4 linked regions of the Caenorhabditis elegans genome follow. The protein of the gene in region 1 interacts with the protein of each later gene in a pairwise test. Each region holds a gene or a part of one and is shown in the gene's direction. Other genes may lie near its edges. The genes, in order: gly-5, dpm-1, ptr-2 and prx-19.

Region 1 (4,893 bases):
AAAAGTCTGCGTCTCTTCTCCCGCATTTTTGTAGATCGAACCAAAATAAGACACTTTAACACCACGTGCGGAATTAGAATATCTCTAGAAACATTTTGGCGGGAATTCAAATTTCTATGGAAAAATTTTTGCGGGAATTCAAATTACTATGGAAAAAATTTGGCGGGAATTCAAATTTCTTCAGAAAAATTTCGGCGGGAATTCGAATTAAAATTGTGTATGCACCTTTAAGATTACTGTATAATGTTTTTTTTTCAAATTTTCTTATAATTTACAGATTTTTATAGCTAATTTGTGACCGAGTAGAACTTACTTACTTACTTAGTAACTATAAGAAAACAATAACAATTTTTCTAAGATCAATTTAAAGGCGCTCGCACAAAGTAATTTTGGAAAGGGTCTCACCGCGCCAAATGAATTTTTCAAATAATTTTTTTTCGCGTTCTCATTTTTCCTAGAAATTCCAGAATTTTTGTAGTAAAATTGCAAACATAAGCCCTTTTCGAAATATTTTTTTTCTTCATTAATCGAAAAAATAAGATGATTTGTAGTTTAGCCTAGCCTATAGACATTTTCGTTCCCCTCTCACTACAAGTAGGTGTCTCTGACATTCTCTTCTCCAACCTATTCGTCATGCTCAATTGAGCACGTCCGGGGCTCTTCTAACCAGCAAACAACTCCCCCCAGTTATGACCACGTTTCTCTTTTGTCTTCTGGGTTCACTATCAATAGAAGTTTCCATTTGAGAAGTATGCAAAGGGCGTGGGCGTCTGTTTGAGCAAAATGGGTGTGAATGGTAAGATGGATGATAAGGGGGAAATGATGTTTTTGACGTAAAAAATTTTATAATGTGGAGTATCGAAATCTTTTTAGAACAATTTTAAAATGACTCCCTGATTCCGATATTTAAGTGAAAAAAAAAACTGTGCTTTTTTTAAGGTCACTTTTTTTGTTATATCATTAAAAAAACTAACAAAATTTGTGATTTTTAGGCGGGAAAAGCATATATTTGGATTTTTCGTCCACGGGGTTCTGGGCATTTCTCATTGAATTTTCGCGCTCCATTGATAATCGCCTGCCGGACAGCGCGTGGAAAAGTGTCGTGTACTCCTCACGGACAGCAAACTTCAGTTTTACAACTAAAACGAGCCGCGACGCGACACGCAACGCGCCGTAAATCTACACAAAATCTCTCCGACCCAAAATGGCCTAGTTCGGCAAACAGCCAGAATTCCGTGGAATTCGTCGAGTTTTGACCTAAGAAATGGAAATTTTGTTAGTTTTTTGGCAAAATAATATTTAATTGACCTTAAAAAACGAAACTTTGGAAAAAAGCGACGAAAATGAAGATATTGAAAATCTCGTAAATCGACACATCGCGATTTTAAGCTGAAATATAATATCAGGGAAATTTTTTAGAATTTTTTCACTTAGATATTCGGAATCAGGGAGTCATTTAAAACTATTTCTCTCACAAAATTTCTAGGATACACGGAAAATCGAAATCGTGACTCATTGCGAACTTGAAACATTACAGTTCTCGAGCACATTTGAACTTGACCGAAACCACCGAAAAAAGTAAATATAGTGTGAGAGAGAGAGAGTAAGAGGTATTAGAGAAGCTAAAAAAGATAGTGGTTCTGTTCTATGCTCTCTTCTTATACACCCTCTTCCCTTCCCTTCCCAACTGTTCAAATATTATCGTTAACATGCCTTGCATGCTGCTGCTCATCGTCATTGTCCACGTCAACCTAAAATTTTTAATGTGAATTTGAATTCAGTATGCCTTGGGTCCGAAAAAGTTTGCATTATAAATTTCCTTGTTTTACTCGAATTTCCAATACTACTACTACTTTTCACAATTTAATTCGTTTTTTTTCAGGCAGCAAACTTATATTATCAAAATTGAGGGATATTGAAGCATAAAACGGAGGATTTTCGGTAGGTTACGGTACCCTGGGTCTCGGCACGACAAATGTTTGAAAAAAGGTGTGCGCCTTTAAAGAGTACTGTAATTTCAAACTTGTTCATTTGCGGAATTTTTATTGATTTTTTAGTTTTTCGATGAAAATCTATTAAATTATCAAATATCTAAAGTAAATTTCAAAAAGCTGAAAAATTAATTTTAAGGCGCACACCTTCAATGAGTACAAGGATTTGTCGTGTCGAGACCTGGATCTGTATTTCTGACGCAAAAATCTGAAAAGTGTCATATTAAACAATATTAAAGAAAAAAAAAGAAAAAAACTAACTAAAAAAATCTGTTTTAACATTGAAAACTTGATCATTTTGAGGTCAAACTAGAAAATATTGATTTTTCTTCGAATTTCTATTGATTTTTTTGTTGCTATTTATTAGTTTTCCTGAAAATTATAGTTTTTCCATCATATTCCTGCCAAAAACATGTTCCACCGATTTTGTCCACGTGTAGTACGTAGTTGTCGGTTTCTAGGTCACCACCCGTGTACTACACGTGGACGATGTGTCCTTATTTGGAGTTTTTGTCGAAAAATTTAGTTTTTACTGGTTTTTACTGAGCTGAATCGAAATATTTTGAGAAATTTCCCAATTAAATTAATCAAAAATTAATTTTTTTGCAGATACGGGTCGATTTTGCCGCTGAGAAATGATTATATTCAAGAAAAAGGCGATATTAAAAGTTCTCCTCTTGGTTCCAGTTTTTTGGATTTGCTCGTTGATTTTTTTCGCAGCAACCAGCAATGATAGTAGCCAGGTATCAAAAATCAAAAATAAAAAAAATAAAAATGTGATTAAAATCCCATTTTCAGATCGGATCAAATAACGATCTCGCGAATAAAATTGCGGAGGCGAATTTCCACCCGAAAGCCGCGAAACAAGACGTAATTCAAGGATTTGGGCCGCCGATTGAGCCGGAACCTGTCGTAGAGAATAATAAAGTGGAAGAAGAAGAGCAACCCGGCGGGAACTTGGCCAAACCAAAATTTATGGTCGATCCGAACGATCCGATTTATAAAAAAGGAGACGCAGCGCAAGCCGGAGAGCTTGGAAAGGCAGTTGTCGTCGATAAAACTGTGAGAATTTGATTATTCTTGAGGAATAACGGTTCTTTGAACTTGTGGACTCAAAATGTGCTCAAATTCTCAAAATTGCGAAAAAAATGAGCCAAAAATGACTTAAATTGGCCAAAAATTACCAAAAATGATTTTAAAAATGAAAATATTCCGTATAGATTTTTAATCATTTTAGGGCAATTTCGGTCATTTTTTACTGATTTTTGGCTGATTTTCCATCATTTTAAGTAATTTTAGTTAATTTTAGGCCAAATTTGGTTATTTTTGGTCATTTTTGGTCAATTTCTGTCATTTTTGGCCGATTTTTAATCATTTTTGGTCAAATTTGGTCATTTTTCAGAAATTTTTAGTCACTTCAGCGCTCGGAAATTGCCGAAAATTGGCCAATAATGACTAAAAATGACCGAAATTTGCCGAAAATGATTAAAATGTATATAATATACCGTATTTCTTCTATTAATATGGCCTCCCTATTAGACTTGCACTCCCTATTAGTATTGCTCCTTGAAAACCCTCCGAAAATTAGTATTGCAGTTAGTGTTGCACTCCCTAATAGTCTTGCATCTACTTTTTTTTTTTGGTACAAACCCACCCTACTAATTTTGAGATTTTAACAACATTTTTTGCCTACTTTGCAACAATTTTGGTAAAATTTCTATGAAATTGAAGTTATTGTACCTTTTTGTTGCAATTACAATCAAATTTTCTGAATTTTCACATAAGATTCGAGTTTTTTCAGGAAAAAAACTAGTAAGCTCAAAGTCAGAAAATGTTCTGAAAATTAGTATTGCACTCCCTAATAGTCTTGCACTCCCTATTAGTATTGCAAGCGGAAGACCATCGAAAAATATTATTGCAGCCATATTAATAGAAGAAATACGGTACATATTTTCGGTCATTTTTAATCATTTTTGGCCGATTTTCGATTATGCTTAGTCATTAAAAAAAAGACTAAAAAATTACCAAATTTGGTCCAAAATCACCAAAAATGACTGAAATTGGACAAAAATGAATAAAAATTTCTAAAATATTTAATATTTTAAATATTTATGTCATTTTTGGTCATTTTTCGCCTATTTTGGGCCAAATTTGGTCATTTTTCAGACATTTTTAATCACTTCAGTGCTCGGAAATTTTCGAAAATTGGCCAAAAATGATTAAAAATGATGTCTAAAATATTTTAAATATCAAGTTATTTTAAATATGAAATATTTTCGACATTCCTGGCCAATTTCGGTAATTTGTAGTCATTTTCAACCGACTGCTGATTATTTTTGGTCCGTTTAGGTATTTTTAGCAAAATTTAGAAATTTTAGTAATTTTTGGCCGAATTTTCATTTTTTTTTTTGGTCACATTAGGTAATTTTTAGGTGATTTTGGGTAATTTTTAGTCATTTTTATCCAATTCGCGATCATTTTTTAGCCACTCTAGGTCATTTTAGGCCGATTTCGGCCCCCAAAATCTAAGATTCTAGTGGAAATTAGTTCTTTTTTTTTCGAAATTTTGATGTTTTGCCTTTAAAATCAACGAAAAAAAAAAACTTTATTTTCTTTCTAATTTTCAGAAACTATCGACCGAAGAAAAGGCAAAATACGACAAGGGAATGCTCAACAACGCTTTTAATCAATACGCATCTGATATGATATCAGTACATCGAACTTTGCCAACTAATATTGATGCTGAGTGGGTTTTTTTTTATTCCAAAATTCATAAAAATCGAAAAATTAATTTTTTTAAATTTCCCTAAAAAACTGAAGTTTTTTTGTGATTTTCCGGAAAAAAAGAAGAAAAATCGAATTTTTTCAAAAAATTTTCTTTTTAAAAAAATCGAAAAATCGA
Region 2 (5,185 bases), on another chromosome or scaffold:
TATTTTAATTTTATTTGCATTTGCCGCGTAAGTGACACGAAAAGTGAGCGCCGCAAACGCGCTCCGCTGAGAATTTGTTTGTGCACTCCTCTCGAATAAGTCAAAAATACACGTCTTTATTAAAACTTATTGATTTTTCAGTGTATTCCTGTGATTTTTCTTGAATTTCTAAATGTTTTTGCAGATGAACACTCAAATTTCCATGCGAAACTTGCTAACAAGCTGCTCAAAAGCCATCACAGCAGGTTAGTAAAGGAAAAAGGTCGAAAAATATCATTTGAAGGTTATTTTCAAAAAAAAAACGTGGCAGAACATTTTTCGTACAACATTTTTCATGTGAAAATTGCAATTACTATTATTTCCATTCATTTCTCCTCAAAATCAGACTTTTTATAAACCATTTCCCCCTTCCTCTCCCTAAATCAAAATCACTATTCCCGCGTGAATTTCACATTTTCAGAGAGAAATAATGCGTGGAGAGCAAGTTTGGGAAAAATCAGCCGTCGAGACTACTTGCATCGGTACCAAGTTAAATTTATCCGTCCGGATGGTTCGACAATCATGGTTCCCGCCGCTGAACCGAGACAGGTTGCTTTTTGAAAAATACATATTTAATTGCAGTTTTTATATTTAATCAGTTTTTTAATTGTACATATTTTCAGACATTCCAATCTGCCGTCGACCTCAAACAGTTGAGCGAGGATGAACGACGACAACGGCTGGCTGCTCGTAAACCAAAAGCCAAGATCACAAAAACAGTAATTATATAATTAACGATTTCAAATTAAAAATGGTTTTTTCAGGAAGTTATCGATGACACCTTCGATGAGTCGGAGTATATGAAGTTTTGGTCGGCACCCGGGCAGAAATCCACGAAAAAATAAGAAAAATCTCGTTATTAGCATGTAGTATTTCTTTTTTTTTGTTAGATTTTTTGTTTTCGTTATATTTACTATGAATATCGACTTTATTCTCGATCTGATTAATATTGATTTGTGCGTTTAGTCGCAATTTTATATCAATTATCTCTATTTCACTAGGGAACCCCGTAACAGCTTGGTGGATAGGAAACCAAGAAGTTTGTGGAGGAAAATCGAGTTTCCGGTCGAAATTAGCTTGAAAATACTAATATGCTAAAAACCTCTAAAAACCTCATTTTTCAGCGATAAACGCCGAATTTTCAGCCATTTTCCGAGAAAAACGCGAATTTTCGGGTAAAAAACCCGATCTCAGAACGAATTTGACTTCAAAAATGGAAAAATGCGATAAGAAGCGTGAAGTTTCACTGAAAACTCTTAATTTCAACGTTTTTTACTCAAAAAATCGTATTTCTGGCTCAAAAACAGTGAAATTTATCATTTTTTTTCTGTGAAAAAATCGATTGGGGGGACCAATAAAAGGTACATTTTTGTGACCCACTGACCGAAAATGTACTTTAATCAAAGAATAAGCGCGTAGTAAAGGACCATAATATTTATTAAAGATTGATAATTGAATAAAAATTTAGTTCCAGACGGTGTCACACCGAGAAGGTGGAAAAATGTGATTTTAGCTGAAAATGAGCTTTTTCTAAAACTTTGACCCATAACTTTTTTTTGAGAAAATTTCAAAACTTCTCATTACGAAATTCGGTAGTTTTGAATCATTTGGTTCTAAAAAGCAAAGTCTTAGATTTCGGTACTCCAACTTTAATTTTCAGTGACACTAGTGTTTTTAAGACTTTGAGACCGATTAATTTTGTTTTGATTTCGAGTAGCCAGTATTTAACACAAGCTTCCGATTGGTATACTTTTTGTTTCTCTTATTCACCAAGTTTTTACAGGGATCCCTAGTCAGATTATTCAAAAGGAATTTTATGTTTCAGATTATTATGACATCCACTCCGAAATATTCGATAATTCTGCCAACCTACAACGAAAAAGAAAATTTGCCGATTTGCATTTGGTTAATTGAAAATTATCTGAAAGAAGTTTCACATGAAGTGATTATCGTTGACGATGCATCACCAGACGGTACTCAAGGCATTGCAAAACTTCTTCAAAAGGAGTACGGAGACGATAAGATTCTGATCAAGCCACGAGTTGGAAAACTTGGACTTGGTACAGCCTATTCACATGGATTATCGTTTGCACGTGGAGAATTTATCATTCTTATGGACGCAGATCTTTCTCATCATCCAAAATTCATTCCGGAAATGATTGCGCTTCAACATAAGTATAAGGTATACATTATTCGTACATTTTTTCTAAAAATTGTTAAAAAAACAGAACTTTTTTAAATTTCAAAATTTATAGGTGTACAAATGTTATTTTAGTTAAATAATAGTTAATTTGATGAAAGTTTTCCAATTTGAGAAAAATATGGCAAGAACTTATTATGCAACGTTAAGCATTTAAAATTTATATAGAAATGTAGAACACAGCATGTTCTATCTGAAAATAACATATATTTCTGTTAAAAAATTGAAAAAAGTCCTCAAATAGTACCTGAAAATTGTCGTTTGACGAAAAGGTGCCGTTAAAAGTTTTTTCGGCAAACTGTAACTTTCAGGCACAGTTGGATCAGGGGTGTGCTGATAATATCCGATTCACTATCAGCCGAATTTCTGCCAGTTTAGCTAATTTAAACTTTAAGTTATCCGGTAGCCGATGTTGGCCGATCTTAGCCCAATTTCCCGGTCTGCTAATTTCACTAACACATTTTTTTTTGGAAAAAATGTTGGGGTTTTATATGATTTTTTCTATTTGAACAGTCGTTCATCACTGAATTTGCTAAAAAATAGTGAACATCACCGCAACTTTTTTCGAACGAGGGCCGAGAAAAAATGCGAAAAATCGGTGTTTGCACACAAAACACCGCATTTTACGACATTTTGTACTTGCTTTGTTTTCTCTTGTTTTTCACCAATTTTTCCCGTGTTTTCTTATCAAAACTGATAAATAAATTTTTTTGCTAATGCTAAAATAATTTCCAGATGAAAAAATATGTATTCAGTCGGCAAGTAGCGGTGAAAGTCGTCAATGTAATATGATGGATTACGGGAATACAAAACCCAAACTTTTTCCCAAACATGATACATATGCTGCTCTGATGCTGAAACTACCTGATTTTCATAACGAGACCGCTGAAAAAGTTTTGAGGTTTTCAAAATTCAACTTTTTGTGCGAAAATCTCTACTTTTTCACCAAAAAAGTTGAATTTTGAAAGCCTCAAAACTTTTTCAGTGGTCTCGTTATGAAAATCAGGTAGTTTCAGCATCAGAGCAGCATATGTATCATGTGTGGGAAAAAGTTTGGGTTTTGTGTTCCCGTAATCCATCATATTACATTGACCACTTTCACCGTTACTTACAGACTCAATACACAATTTTTTCACTTGGAAATTGTTTTAGCATCTGCAAAAAATATTTATTTATTAGTATTAATAAGAAAAAATGGGGAAAATTGGTGAAAAACGAAAGAAAACACGCGGAAAACAAAGCAACATAAATGGCCGCTGAAACTTGTCGGGGACTCGGCCATGGCCTAGAAACCTTTTTGCCTCGTCCCTCGTTCGAAAAAAGTTGTAGTGAATAGCCGTTAGCCGGCTTCAAAAAAGTCGGCATTAGCCGATCTATCTGTTAGCCGAAAAAGTCGGTTATCCGCACACCCCTGATTATCATGTTGAAATGCGCCAGTTTTGTGCGTTTGCCGAAAATAATGTCTCACCTAATATCAAGTTTCCGATAATAGAGGACATAATATTACATTTAAAAAACCATCACATTTATATCAACACAATGCCTTTTTTAAGCATAAAAATACAATTTTTTTATTTATTTTTCAGCTCGACATCGTGACAGGAACACGCTACAAGGACGGAGGTGGTGTTAGTGGATGGGATTTGAAGAGGAAGACGATCAGCAAGGGAGCCAATTTTTTGGCTCAGTTTCTGCTGAATCCAGGTGTATCTGATTTAACAGGATCATTTCGTCTTTATAAGAGAGATATTCTGTCGAAGTTGATTGCTGAAAGTGTAAGCAAAGGATACGTTTTTCAGGTGAATATAGGTTTAAATTTTGAAAAATAAAGATATTTCTGCAACTCGTGCACACCATTTACCAAAAACCGGAGCCAATGAAAAAAGGTTTTTATTGATCAAGAAACAGAAATGCAATCAAAACTTAAGCTTATTCTGAGGCTCTTCGAAAATTCAAAGTTAAATATATATAAAGAAGATTTTTTAATAACAAAATACTGTGAAAAAGATTTTTTAATGTTTTTAAAATCCGAATTGCAGATGGAAATGATGTTTCGAGCGAAAAAATCGGGTTATCGTATTGGGGAGGTACCAATCTCATTCGTCGATCGATTCTTTGGAGAATCAAAGCTCGGAAGTCAGGAAATCGTGGATTACGCAAAAGGACTTCTCTATCTGTTTGCATTTGTTTGGTAGATTCTGTGATATAATTTGTATTCATTTTACTATTTTTAATTTAAATTTTAAGAATTAAAATTTCTGAGAGTTTTATAGCCAGAGCGCTTCATTGTACGTTTTCCAAATTTTTTTATTATGACCTTGGGGATTCCTATTTATATTGTTTCCAAACATTCTTGTTTAAATTATATTTTTTCTTCGAATAAATCGTTATAATATTTTTTAAGATGCCAACAAAATTGGAAACAATTTGTGCACAAATGTTCTGGTTGGCTAAGTGTCAAGTTGCCGAATAATTAAAGCTCGGCAAATGCCGAAAAATAGAAGAAATATGTATCCAATTTTCAAAAAGAGATTAAAATTTTCAGATTATCCAGTGTTGGGAGTTAAAAATGTTATATTTTTGTACCAATATCTCGGCAAATCGGTCCAGTTTTCCAGGGCGCTTTCAACGTCTTTCAACGACTACCCCCGAGCTGTGAATTGTGCCCTGGAAAGCTGGCGATGAGCGGCAAACTCCAGAAAAAAAAGTGGGTGTGTGTGCCGCACACTGCCGTACTCTGTTGCACATTTCTGTGCATTTCTGAGTCACTATTTTTGGTGAACGGCCAGAGTCACTATATTTGGTGAACGGCCCAAATATAGTGACTCTGGCCGTTCACCAAGAACAGTGACTGTCTCGGTAGACGTATGCGCACATTCCGCGCACCTTCCGCGCACATTCTGCGCACATTGGTTTTTGTGTGTTTTTCATCCAGAAATCATGCAT
Region 3 (5,751 bases), on another chromosome or scaffold:
TCTCCAATACTATTAAACTTGAAAAAAAGTCTAGATGAAAATTAACAAATCTGTGAACTTTGGCATTTGTAGCGATCTCTATGACTGAGATCGTGACGAGACCCACTCAAAAAATCCCATGTGCTTTTGAAATTGCCAATTTTTAGCAAAATTACGATATTTCGGGAGCACAAAAATCTGAGAATGTGTATTGCGTAAAATATCTCGTAGCGAAAACTACAGTAAGTCTTTGAATGACTACTGTAGGGCTTGTGTCGATTTACGGGCTCGATTTTCGATATTAAATAATTTATTTTCCCTAGATTTTCTCAAATTTTTTTTCTCAAATTTGTTATTCAGTCGATAAATATAGAGCTCGTGAATCGACACAAGCGCTACAGTAATCATTCAAAGAATTACTGTAGTTTTCGCTACGAGATATTTTGCACGTCAAATATGTTGTGCAGTACGCATTTTCAGAATTTTTTGTTCCCATAATATCTATATTTTTCTCAATAACGTTGTTCAAATATCCTACTCAATGTAAATGTTTTTCATTCAATTTGATTCCATTCTCGACTTAACGACTCTTAACCCATTTCTTTTCGTCTTCAGAACCCTATTTACAAATTTGATTGCTTTAGGAGATATTTTTGTAAAACAGATATAGAAAAAAGTGACGTAAGAATTTGTTTAATGTTTTTTCGCGGCGCAATCTAGAATCTTCATCCAAGCTTCATCGAAAGTTTCCCAAAGTTCAAAACTTTAAAGAAAAATAAGTGGACTGCAGGCTTCTTCAATTTAGACAATTAAATATTTTCCCTTCAAGACGAATTACTTTCTCGAAATTTTCTACCAATAATCCATGCCAGACAGGCGCGAAAAATGGACCGGTATCGCTGCTGTTGCATTTAGAGGCGAACATCATCATGCCGAAAGTCGAATTTATCCCTCTCTTTTCTCTGTCTCCCTTTCTTATTCCCCTCACAGCTTTCACCCTCATCTGATGACACAACCGCAGAAGAAAGACCGGTATCCGCCTCTCCGATGACGCACGCGGACAGCGGAGATCGTCTTCTGACTGCAGCAAATCGACTGCTTGATTTCTTATATTTATTTCGTCTTGATCTATTATTTTGATCTACTCCTGTTGGTTTTGTCTTGTCTTCGGCGGTCAAATTTGGGTTTCGTGAGCGAACCACAAGATGTTTTAAAGTTTCCTCGTATTTCTTTTCTGTGATTTTCAATTTTTTTTTTCGAAATTTCAGAGCGTGTTCACATTTAAAGCAGTTGTAAAATGAAAACAAAAGTTTGCAGAAATTATTAATTCATTAATTTTCTTGTTTTTTGTGATTTTGTCTATTTAATAACGGCATTTTTCAAAATTAAAATTAATTTTTAAATTTAATTTAAATTCCTTGTCTAAACTTCACCATGACGAAAAAATGCACACAATCTGCATTTCCGGGTTACTGTAGTCATTTTTTCTTCTCAACTTTTTGTTTTAATTTTCTCCAATAATTCCTTCATTTTAGTTCATCTTTCTCATTTTTCTGTACCGGGCCACCTGCCAATAATTATTTCCGGATAAATACTGTGTAGCCTGTGTAGTCTGTAGTTTGTAGCCCACTATAAAACAGTGCGAGTCAGTCTTTCTTCCTTTCTTCCTTCCCTCGATTAAATCTCCTCTGCATTTTTATCTCACTCTCTTAATTTTTATTGTTTCTTTCTAATAATCGCCAAAATACTCTAATTTATTAATTTTCAGAAATGGCATGGGACTGTGTGGAGCGGCGTGCGGCGTCGCTGTTCCGACAGCTCGGATTCCTGATCTGTGACCATCCGCTTCCATTTTTCGTCTTCCCGCTACTCTTCACCGCCGCAATGGGAGTCGGACTTCTCCACCTGAATCCACTCTCCGACGCCGTTTACCTCTTCACACCACTCGGCGCTCAGAGCAAGATGGAACGAATGTCGATTCATGAGAAATGGCCACTCACCGACAATAATTATATTCCGGGACGAGCTGTGACGCAAAGTCGAGAAATTCAAGTCACAGCGCTTGCTCGCAACGATTCGAATATTCTTGATCCAAAATTTGCGAACGCAGTCTATCAACTCGACAAATATATTCAAACAAGAGTTCGTGTCCTTCACAATGGCCACTATTACAGCTACAAAAACCTGTGCCTACAGTATAAAAGTTAGTATTGCTCGAGAGTGTCATCATTTCCGGAAAAATTTCCTAATTTTCATATTTTTCAGATGGCGGTTGCCCTTCTAACAAGCATGTACATATTCTTTCCGACCTACACAATCATGGCTTCAATATTACTTACCCCTATTTTCGATTCGGATCAGAGTATGTTCAGATATTTTTTTTTCCAATTTTTGTTCGTATTTTCCAGAGGAGGATATATCGGAAGCAGTCTCGGAGGCGTCACTGTAATGAAAGGAGAAAATGAGACAGATATCCTTGCATCAGCGAAAGCCTGGTTCATGATCTATCATCTGAAGTTTCACCCAGAAGAAATGAGCTATATTTCGGGAGAATGGGAGCTAGAACTCGGCAGAATGCTCACCCAGTATCCAGAAGATCCATACATCTCTATCACCTACTTCCACTCTCAAACTCTAGCAGATGAGCTTAAGAGAAATGCGGATACACTGATTCCTCGCTTCATAATCTCCATCACCCTTCTCATCGTTTTCTCAACACTTTGCTCGCTGAGCTTCATCGACGGATCGTTCTCAATCGATTGGGTTCTCTCTAAACCGATTCTTTCCATTCTCGGAGTGGTCAGTGCTGGAATCGCTATTCTCACTGGCGTCGGATTCTTGTCATTGATGGGAATGCCATACAATGACATTGTTGGTGTCATGCCATTCCTCGTGCTCGCTGTTGGAGTTGATAATATGTTTTTGATGGTAGCAGCTGTGAGACGAACGTCTAGAACGCATACAGTGCACGAACGAATGGGAGAATGTTTGGCAGATGCTGCAGTTTCGATTCTTATCACGTCTAGCACAGGTAGCCCTAATTGAAATTGAATATTTATTCACAATCTTAATATTTTTTCAGATGTTCTTTCCTTTGGAGTCGGCGCCATCACAACTATTCCAGCCGTTCAAATATTCTGTGTATACACTGGAGTCGCAATTTTCTTTGCATTTATATATCAGGTGCTTATAATACCAAGATTCGATTTTTGTTCCGAAAATACAGTACCCGGTCTCGACACATTTCGTCAAAAAACTCATTTAAACCATTAGAAAATAGCAGAATTAATGAATAAAATCACAAAAATTTGAAAAAAAAATGAAAAAAGTTATCTTTAAAGAAGTGCATGTTTTTGAATTTGAAGACAAAAATTGTCGTGGTGAGACCTGGCACCAAATTCGCAAAATTTCGCGTCCGGGTAATATTTCCACGTGGCGAATTTCTGCTAACACACAAAAATCGTTTTTTTCAGGACCAAAATTTTGCGTCTCAATAATAATCGCTGTTTTCAGATCACATTCTTTGCCGCATGCCTAGCACTGGCTATGAAACACGAAGCATCCGGCCGAAATTCCCTCTTTCTCATCGAAGCTGTATCTGCCGAAAAGAAGACATCCCTGAGCACATTCCAACGATTATTCAATCTCGGAAGTGTGCCCGATCATTCTGCATCACACGATGTCAAACAACCACTGACCTCTCGTTTCTTCGGAGAATGGTATGCTCCAGTTCTGATGCATCCTGTGGTTCGTGGAATTGCAATGGTTTGGTTTGTGATCTATCTGCTCGGCGCCAGCTATGGATGCTCTCGTATCAAGGAAGGATTGGAGCCAGTTAATTTATTGGTTGAGGACTCGTATGCTATTCCACATTATCGACTTTTAGAGAAATATTTTTGGAAATACGGACAACAAGTGCAAATTGTGATAAATAATGCTCCCGATCTTAGAAATCATACATCTCGTGATCGAGTTCATGCAATGGTGCTTGACTTTGCGACAAGTAAGCATGCGATTGGAATGGAATCTGTGCAGTTTTGGTTATTCGAAATGGAGAGATATTATCAAAAAGAGTTGGAAGTTCAAATTATTGATTCCTCATTTTATGGCCTTCTTCACCATTTCCTAGCTTCCAAAACCAATAATCCATTGGCAGAGGATATCTACTGGGGACCAATGCCTGATGATGATAATGGAACGATGGTCAAAAGCTTCCGGTTTATTCTAGGAATGAAGGATTTAGTGACAACAATGGACCAAACCGACGCTACAATGTCATTTAGAGAGGTCGCTGCTCGATGGCCGGAGTTCAATGTGACCACTTTTATGCCAATATGGATGTTCACTGATCAGTACATTATAATTATTCCGAACACTGTTCAAAACATTATTATTGCACTTTTGGTGATGATCGTCATTGCCGTTCTCTTCATTCCACAGCCAATGTGCTCACTTTGGGTGGCTCTCGCTTGTGCTTCCATCGATTTTGGAGTGATTGGATACATGACGCTATGGGGAGTGAATCTGGATGCTATATCAATGATCACAATTATCATGTCAATTGGGTTCTCCGTCGATTATTCTGCACACATTGCATATGGCTATGTCGTATCCAGAGAAGATACAGCAGCTGGTAGAGTGAAAGAAGCACTATCAGCTCTTGGATGGCCACTGTCTCAGGGAGCTATGTCTACAATTATCGCGGTTTCAGTTCTTGCCGATATTCCAGCATATATGATAGTTACTTTTTTCAAAACGGTAATTCTTTTCAATTTTTTTATTCTTTAACTTTTCTATTTTCAGGTCGTTCTCTCAATTTCTCTCGGTCTTCTCCATGGTCTTGTTTTCCTTCCAGTATTGCTCTCAATATTCGTACGTGGATGTTGCATAATCCCTAGCTCACCGCATGGTCATCCCAGCGCTCAAAAAATCGAAAAGGTTTGATCTGAAATTATCACTACATTCTCATTTTCCCATATTTCAGCAAATCAGGATCGCCGCTATCTCGTCTAGTCCACTCGATTTGCGAACCGTTGCTCCGCTCCGCGCCTCGTCACCAATCAGCTTCCCGCATAGGCTTGAGTACACCGATGAATCTCCAACTGTACACAACAGATCAAAGAATTCTATTAAATCCGAGCACCTAGACTAGTCTTTCTTCCAATGACTCTCATTAACTAATTGAATACGTGTATTTGTAGAATATTGTGAATGTTCTACGTTGTTTTTAAATATATGTGAATGAATATCTTAATTGAAATTTTAAATATTATTAACTCTCGAAACATTATCAGTGAGTCTAGAATGGGAAGGAGACATTTTTAGAACAAATCGGTCAAAAATAAGAAAACGGATAATTGGATATTTAAGCCAACAGCCACCTATTTCTCAGTGCTACAAATTTTTACCAAAAGCTGAGGATTAATATGCGTTTCTTGAAATTAAACTTTAATATTTTTCAAGTAGCGAATAAAATCACAATGAAAACCTAAACTAATAGTAAGCGACAGAATTTTTAAGATTTACAATCGGAAACTCAAAATCAACTTTCCCGTTCTGATGTTTCACTTTTGACCATAAGTTTTCAAATAAAAACTTAAACTAGACGTATTGTATTTTAGAATATTATTTGCATTTCGTTTGTTCGTTGGTAAGTCACTGTTAACTTTCATAACAAGTTTATGAACAGAGAAAATCAACAATTTACTTATTCTCCTCAGCGGCCTCTCTGGCTCTCTTCTCACGCTTTCCACGGTATTTCTTGTCAGCACG
Region 4 (4,186 bases), 4.4 Mb from region 1:
AGACGAGAAAGACTATGGTGCTACTCAAAGAGATAAAATCAAAAAGTGAAGAAGAAGTGGGAGAAAAGGACACACCCTCTCGGGAATTCACATGGGCGCCCTCCTCCGCCCTTTTCTTGGTTTGAAAGAGCATATGGTGAATGAGATATTGATATACAACCAGATAATGAAGATTTGTTTGAACTTCGAATTATAGTAATCTGAATTTTCAGTTAAAACTTTGGGAAAAGTTTATCCTAATGTAATTTTTTCAATGTTGTTATGGGGACTTAAAATATGCGTATTTTGAAATATGAGTGTAATCTCCAACGCCAAATGGGTCTTGTTAGGTATTGGTGTTTTAACAATTTGTTTCAAGATAAAACGTGAATGAAGTGTAACATAAAATAATTAGAATAACAAAAAAATTTGGCCCATGATCCGAGGGTACATCGGAATAGGGTACATCGAGCGATTTTTCGTTCTTGGGGTACATTCGAGCAAAGGGTACAATCATTCTTAGGGTACATCCACCTGTTTGTTCAGAGGGTACATCCATGGGATTTTCATAGGGTACATCGGCACTATGTTCCAAGGGTACATCCAATTTTCAAGGGGTTCAACGGAAATTTATAACTGAAATTTCTTAGAGTTGTGATTTCTCATAATCATTTTCGCATATTATCGACTTTTTTTCGGTTTTTTTACTGTCGATATTGAAAAATTCGGAATTAAACCATTGTTTTGTTTCTTGATTTCAATTTTATGAATTACAAAACAATGGTTTAATTCGAATTTTTCAATACGGCAGTTAAAAAAAGAAAAAAAGTGATAATATGCAAAAATGATTATGAGAAATCACAACTCTAAGAAATTTCAGTTATAAATTTCCGTTGAACCCCTTGAAAATTGGATGTACCCTTGGAACATAGTGCCGATGTACCCTATGAAAATCCCATGGATGTACCCTCTGAACAAACCGTTGGATGTACCCTAAGAATGATTGTACCCTTTGCTCGAATGTACCCCGAGAACAAATGTACCCTCAATTCGATGTACCCTTGGATCATGGGCCAAAAAATTTAGAAAACTGCCAGAAATGCTTAAAAAATTGGCAAAATAATTGAAAACGTTTTTATTCTCGGTTTTGCCGCCAAAACCTAATGAGACCCAAACTATATGGGCGGAGCGTTCTTATTTGCCTGAAAATATGGTAAATCTTTTGATTAACTATACCACACGTCGTCAACGTATGAACTCCTTCATATATTTTTCAACAACCCCAACATATGTGTATTACACTAGATTTGTGTAAATCTCCTACCGAGAAGCAGTTGTCCTTTTGCAAACAACTGATTGCGCAGCGGTTTAAACAAGAAACGACGAGCAGGCATTCGAATTTGAACTACCGCCAACAACTGTCGCAAGCGCGCTCCGTAGATAAAAACTTTTCCGTGATGTAATTTGTGAACGAAACTAGAATTTTTCAGCGCTTTTATTTAATTTTCAGTATATTTTTGAATTTAAGTTGATTTTATTGATTTTTAAAGTAATTTTATGACAGAAAAAGAATGTCATTCGATTTTTAAGTAGCTTACTATGGATCCCACCGAAATCTGAAAACATTGCGACCTTGCCATTCGATTTTTTTAATAATCATAGCAATTTTAACATATGATCCTTATCGATAAATCTGAACACATAAATAGTACACTGTACCCATTTGTTTTTATTTGATAAGAACACAACCTCCCGTGTGTTCACCGATTGTGTGTTTTATCGATCCAAAAGTACCCCCGCATTTCTCCTTTTCACTTATTTCCCCCTTTTCTTCTCACCGCCTCACTCTTTCGACTTTTTATTTTGCCTCTTTTTCAGAAAAAGATGACTGACGAAACAACCCAAAATATTAAAGACAAAACAGAGGAAGAGCTTGCCGCTTTGCTTGATCAAACTTTGGGAGAATTCACGGCGACACCAGCGTAAGTTTTAAATGTTTTTTAAGCCTAAAGTAAAAAAGTTTTAGTTTCTCATCCGTTTTATTTTTCAGACCAAAACCACGTACAACAGATGATGAACTCGATGAACTGATGGCTTCAGCTGATCAAGAAGCTGCACAAAAAGCTGCGAAAGACTTCCAGAAAATGCTCGAACAAATGGTGACTCTGCAAGAAGAAGCCATGAAAAAAGCTGGAGCAGATCCATCAGAAGGAGAAGGAGAACAGCCACTTGATCCAAATGATCCAGAAGCTCTTGCAATGATGGATGCATTAAAACAACTTATGGAATGCTCATCAAATGTTGCAAATGCTAGCAACCCAGAAGAATTTATGGCTGGTCTTGATATGTTACGTTCTCCAAATTCTCCAATGGAGCCATTTATGAGCATGATTATGCAAACTCTAGCTTCAAAAGAAGTCATGTATCCCCCACTTAAAGAAATTTTCGATAACTATCCAAAGTATTTGGAGGATAACGGTGCTGGTTTAGATGCTGAAACAAAGGAACGATATGAGAAACAATTCGAGGTTATTTTCTCACATTTGCAACAAAAATATAGAAAAAGCCAAATTATTTTTGTATTCTCGCACGACGAAAAATGACCAATTTCGAAATGTTCGTGTTTTCCGGCTATATTTATTGGTTTTCTTTCTATTTATTGACTTGAAACACAATTTCTCAAATTTTTCGACGAATTCTTTGAAACAAAAACCGAAAAATATTTAAAATACAAATCTATAATTAAGCATTATTTTCAACTGTTGCAGAAAATTTCTGAAATGTTGAAAAAAAATTATTTCAATTCAATAGTTAAAGAAAAACCTAACTCAAAATATTCAAAAATATGATTTTGTGCGGGAATTCAAAAATAATTCAGCTATTCGAAATTTTAGTGCAAAAACGTAAAAAAAATATATGTATTTTTAAATTTTTTTTTTGCCCAAATGACAAACAATAGTGTCACTTTACTCAATGTTTTTTTTTTCTTTAAAAAAAAATTTTCTAAAAAAATTTTTTTTCTAAAAGCTGTGAACAAGTAATATTTCTCCCAAAATTTACTATTTTTCAGGTTCTTGGAAAAATCTGCACAGAATTCGAAAAACAACCAGAATTGGCCGAAGTTCAACCTGTAGACGCAGCCACTCAACCTGCTCCCGAAGCGGATCCAGCATCTATCGAACATTTTGAGAAGCTTGGAAAGTTGCTCGTCGAGCTCCAACAATACGGATATCCACCAAAAGAACTTGTTGGAGCACTTCCAGATGGATGGCAAATTGATGAGTCTGGTCTTCCGAAAGTTGCCGATGCTGCAGCAGCAACTGAAGCGTGCTCAATTATGTGAATACTATTAACTATGTTGTTATATCAAATTGAAGCCAAAGAAATAGAATTTTAGAAAAAATAAACTTTTGTGTTTAAAAAACATAACTGTTTCCCATCAACTCTTCAATATGATAATCCCTGAATAGAAATGTCTCTTCCCCAGTGTAGCAATAAGTGTCCTCAGTTATTTTCCACATTTTCTAAGTCAGTTACTAGTTTGGTTTTTTTTTGTTTTTTTTGTTATGCTTCAACGAATAGATTTTTCTTTTAAAGTTCGCTTTTCAAGTGTGTGGCCAAATTATTTTCCAAATTACAGTCTTTTCCTTATATCCAAACATGTTTCAAATCAATAAAGATTTATGAATTTGAATTCCCTTTGAACACTTGATGATCACAATTAACTGTAATTGATATTTTTCAGAATCAGAAATTTATCTATCATTAATGAGACTACAAATATCATATTTTTAGAAAATAAATTTGCTTTCAATTAAATATTTCAGATGTCTGGACACTCATATGCTTCTGTAGTCGATCGAATTTATTCAAGAAAAAGTTCGGAACTTTATGATAATATTGCATATCTTCATCATCCAAGTGGTGTCACCGTTGTCGTTCTTCGAAATGTGAGATTTTTCTGAAAGGCACACTTAAAGGCGCATACAGATCTCACCCCGGAAAAATTCGGCGAAAAATTTGAATATTCTATTAAAACAGGCCTGGTGCGGTTTGATACATGCCGATTTACTAAGATTTGCGAACTACATACGGAAAAGTGTGAATTTATCTGTTTTGCAAAAAATACATTTTATAAAGAAAATTTTTTTATTATATGTATAGAAAACAATTCAAAATGTTTAGATTCCTGAAAGTGAAGTTGTCG

Evidence for each region.
Region 2: the proteins of gly-5 (region 1) and dpm-1 interact in a two-hybrid assay, tested with the Caenorhabditis elegans proteins (one large-scale study listed by BioGRID).
Region 3: the proteins of gly-5 (region 1) and ptr-2 interact in a two-hybrid assay, tested with the Caenorhabditis elegans proteins (one large-scale study listed by BioGRID).
Region 4: the proteins of gly-5 (region 1) and prx-19 interact in a two-hybrid assay, tested with the Caenorhabditis elegans proteins (one large-scale study listed by BioGRID).

Annotation. Positions count from the first base shown.
Region 1 is NC_003281.10:13,185,510-13,190,402, forward strand, and holds the start of gly-5 (Polypeptide N-acetylgalactosaminyltransferase 5), read left to right. Parts: upstream 1-1,882; 5' UTR 1,883-1,941; intron 1,942-2,600; 5' UTR 2,601-2,626; coding exon 2,627-2,734; intron 2,735-2,789; coding exon 2,790-3,053; intron 3,054-4,618; coding exon 4,619-4,737; intron 4,738-4,893. UniProt on the Caenorhabditis elegans protein: Catalyzes the initial reaction in O-linked oligosaccharide biosynthesis, the transfer of an N-acetyl-D-galactosamine residue to a serine or threonine residue on the protein receptor.
Region 2 is NC_003282.8:443,813-448,997, forward strand, and holds dpm-1 (Dolichol-phosphate mannosyltransferase subunit 1), read left to right. Parts: upstream 1-1,864; 5' UTR 1,865-1,870; coding exon 1,871-2,221; intron 2,222-3,825; coding exon 3,826-4,038; intron 4,039-4,278; coding exon 4,279-4,434; 3' UTR 4,435-4,637; downstream 4,638-5,185. Other genes in the region: mrpl-55 (39S ribosomal protein L55, mitochondrial), read left to right, coding at 173-245, 461-588, 663-758, 804-884.
Region 3 is NC_003279.8:3,788,794-3,794,544, reverse strand, and holds ptr-2 (SSD domain-containing protein), read left to right. Parts: upstream 1-1,747; 5' UTR 1,748-1,749; coding exon 1,750-2,182; intron 2,183-2,244; coding exon 2,245-2,341; intron 2,342-2,387; coding exon 2,388-3,010; intron 3,011-3,061; coding exon 3,062-3,162; intron 3,163-3,492; coding exon 3,493-4,737; intron 4,738-4,782; coding exon 4,783-4,917; intron 4,918-4,963; coding exon 4,964-5,131; 3' UTR 5,132-5,236; downstream 5,237-5,751. Other genes in the region: rpl-13 (Large ribosomal subunit protein eL13), read right to left, coding at 5,683-5,751.
Region 4 is NC_003281.10:8,806,967-8,811,152, reverse strand, and holds prx-19 (Putative peroxisomal biogenesis factor 19), read left to right. Parts: upstream 1-1,857; 5' UTR 1,858-1,863; coding exon 1,864-1,961; intron 1,962-2,029; coding exon 2,030-2,507; intron 2,508-3,049; coding exon 3,050-3,322; 3' UTR 3,323-3,671; downstream 3,672-4,186. Other genes in the region: F54F2.7 (uncharacterized protein), read left to right, coding at 3,807-3,929, 4,165-4,186.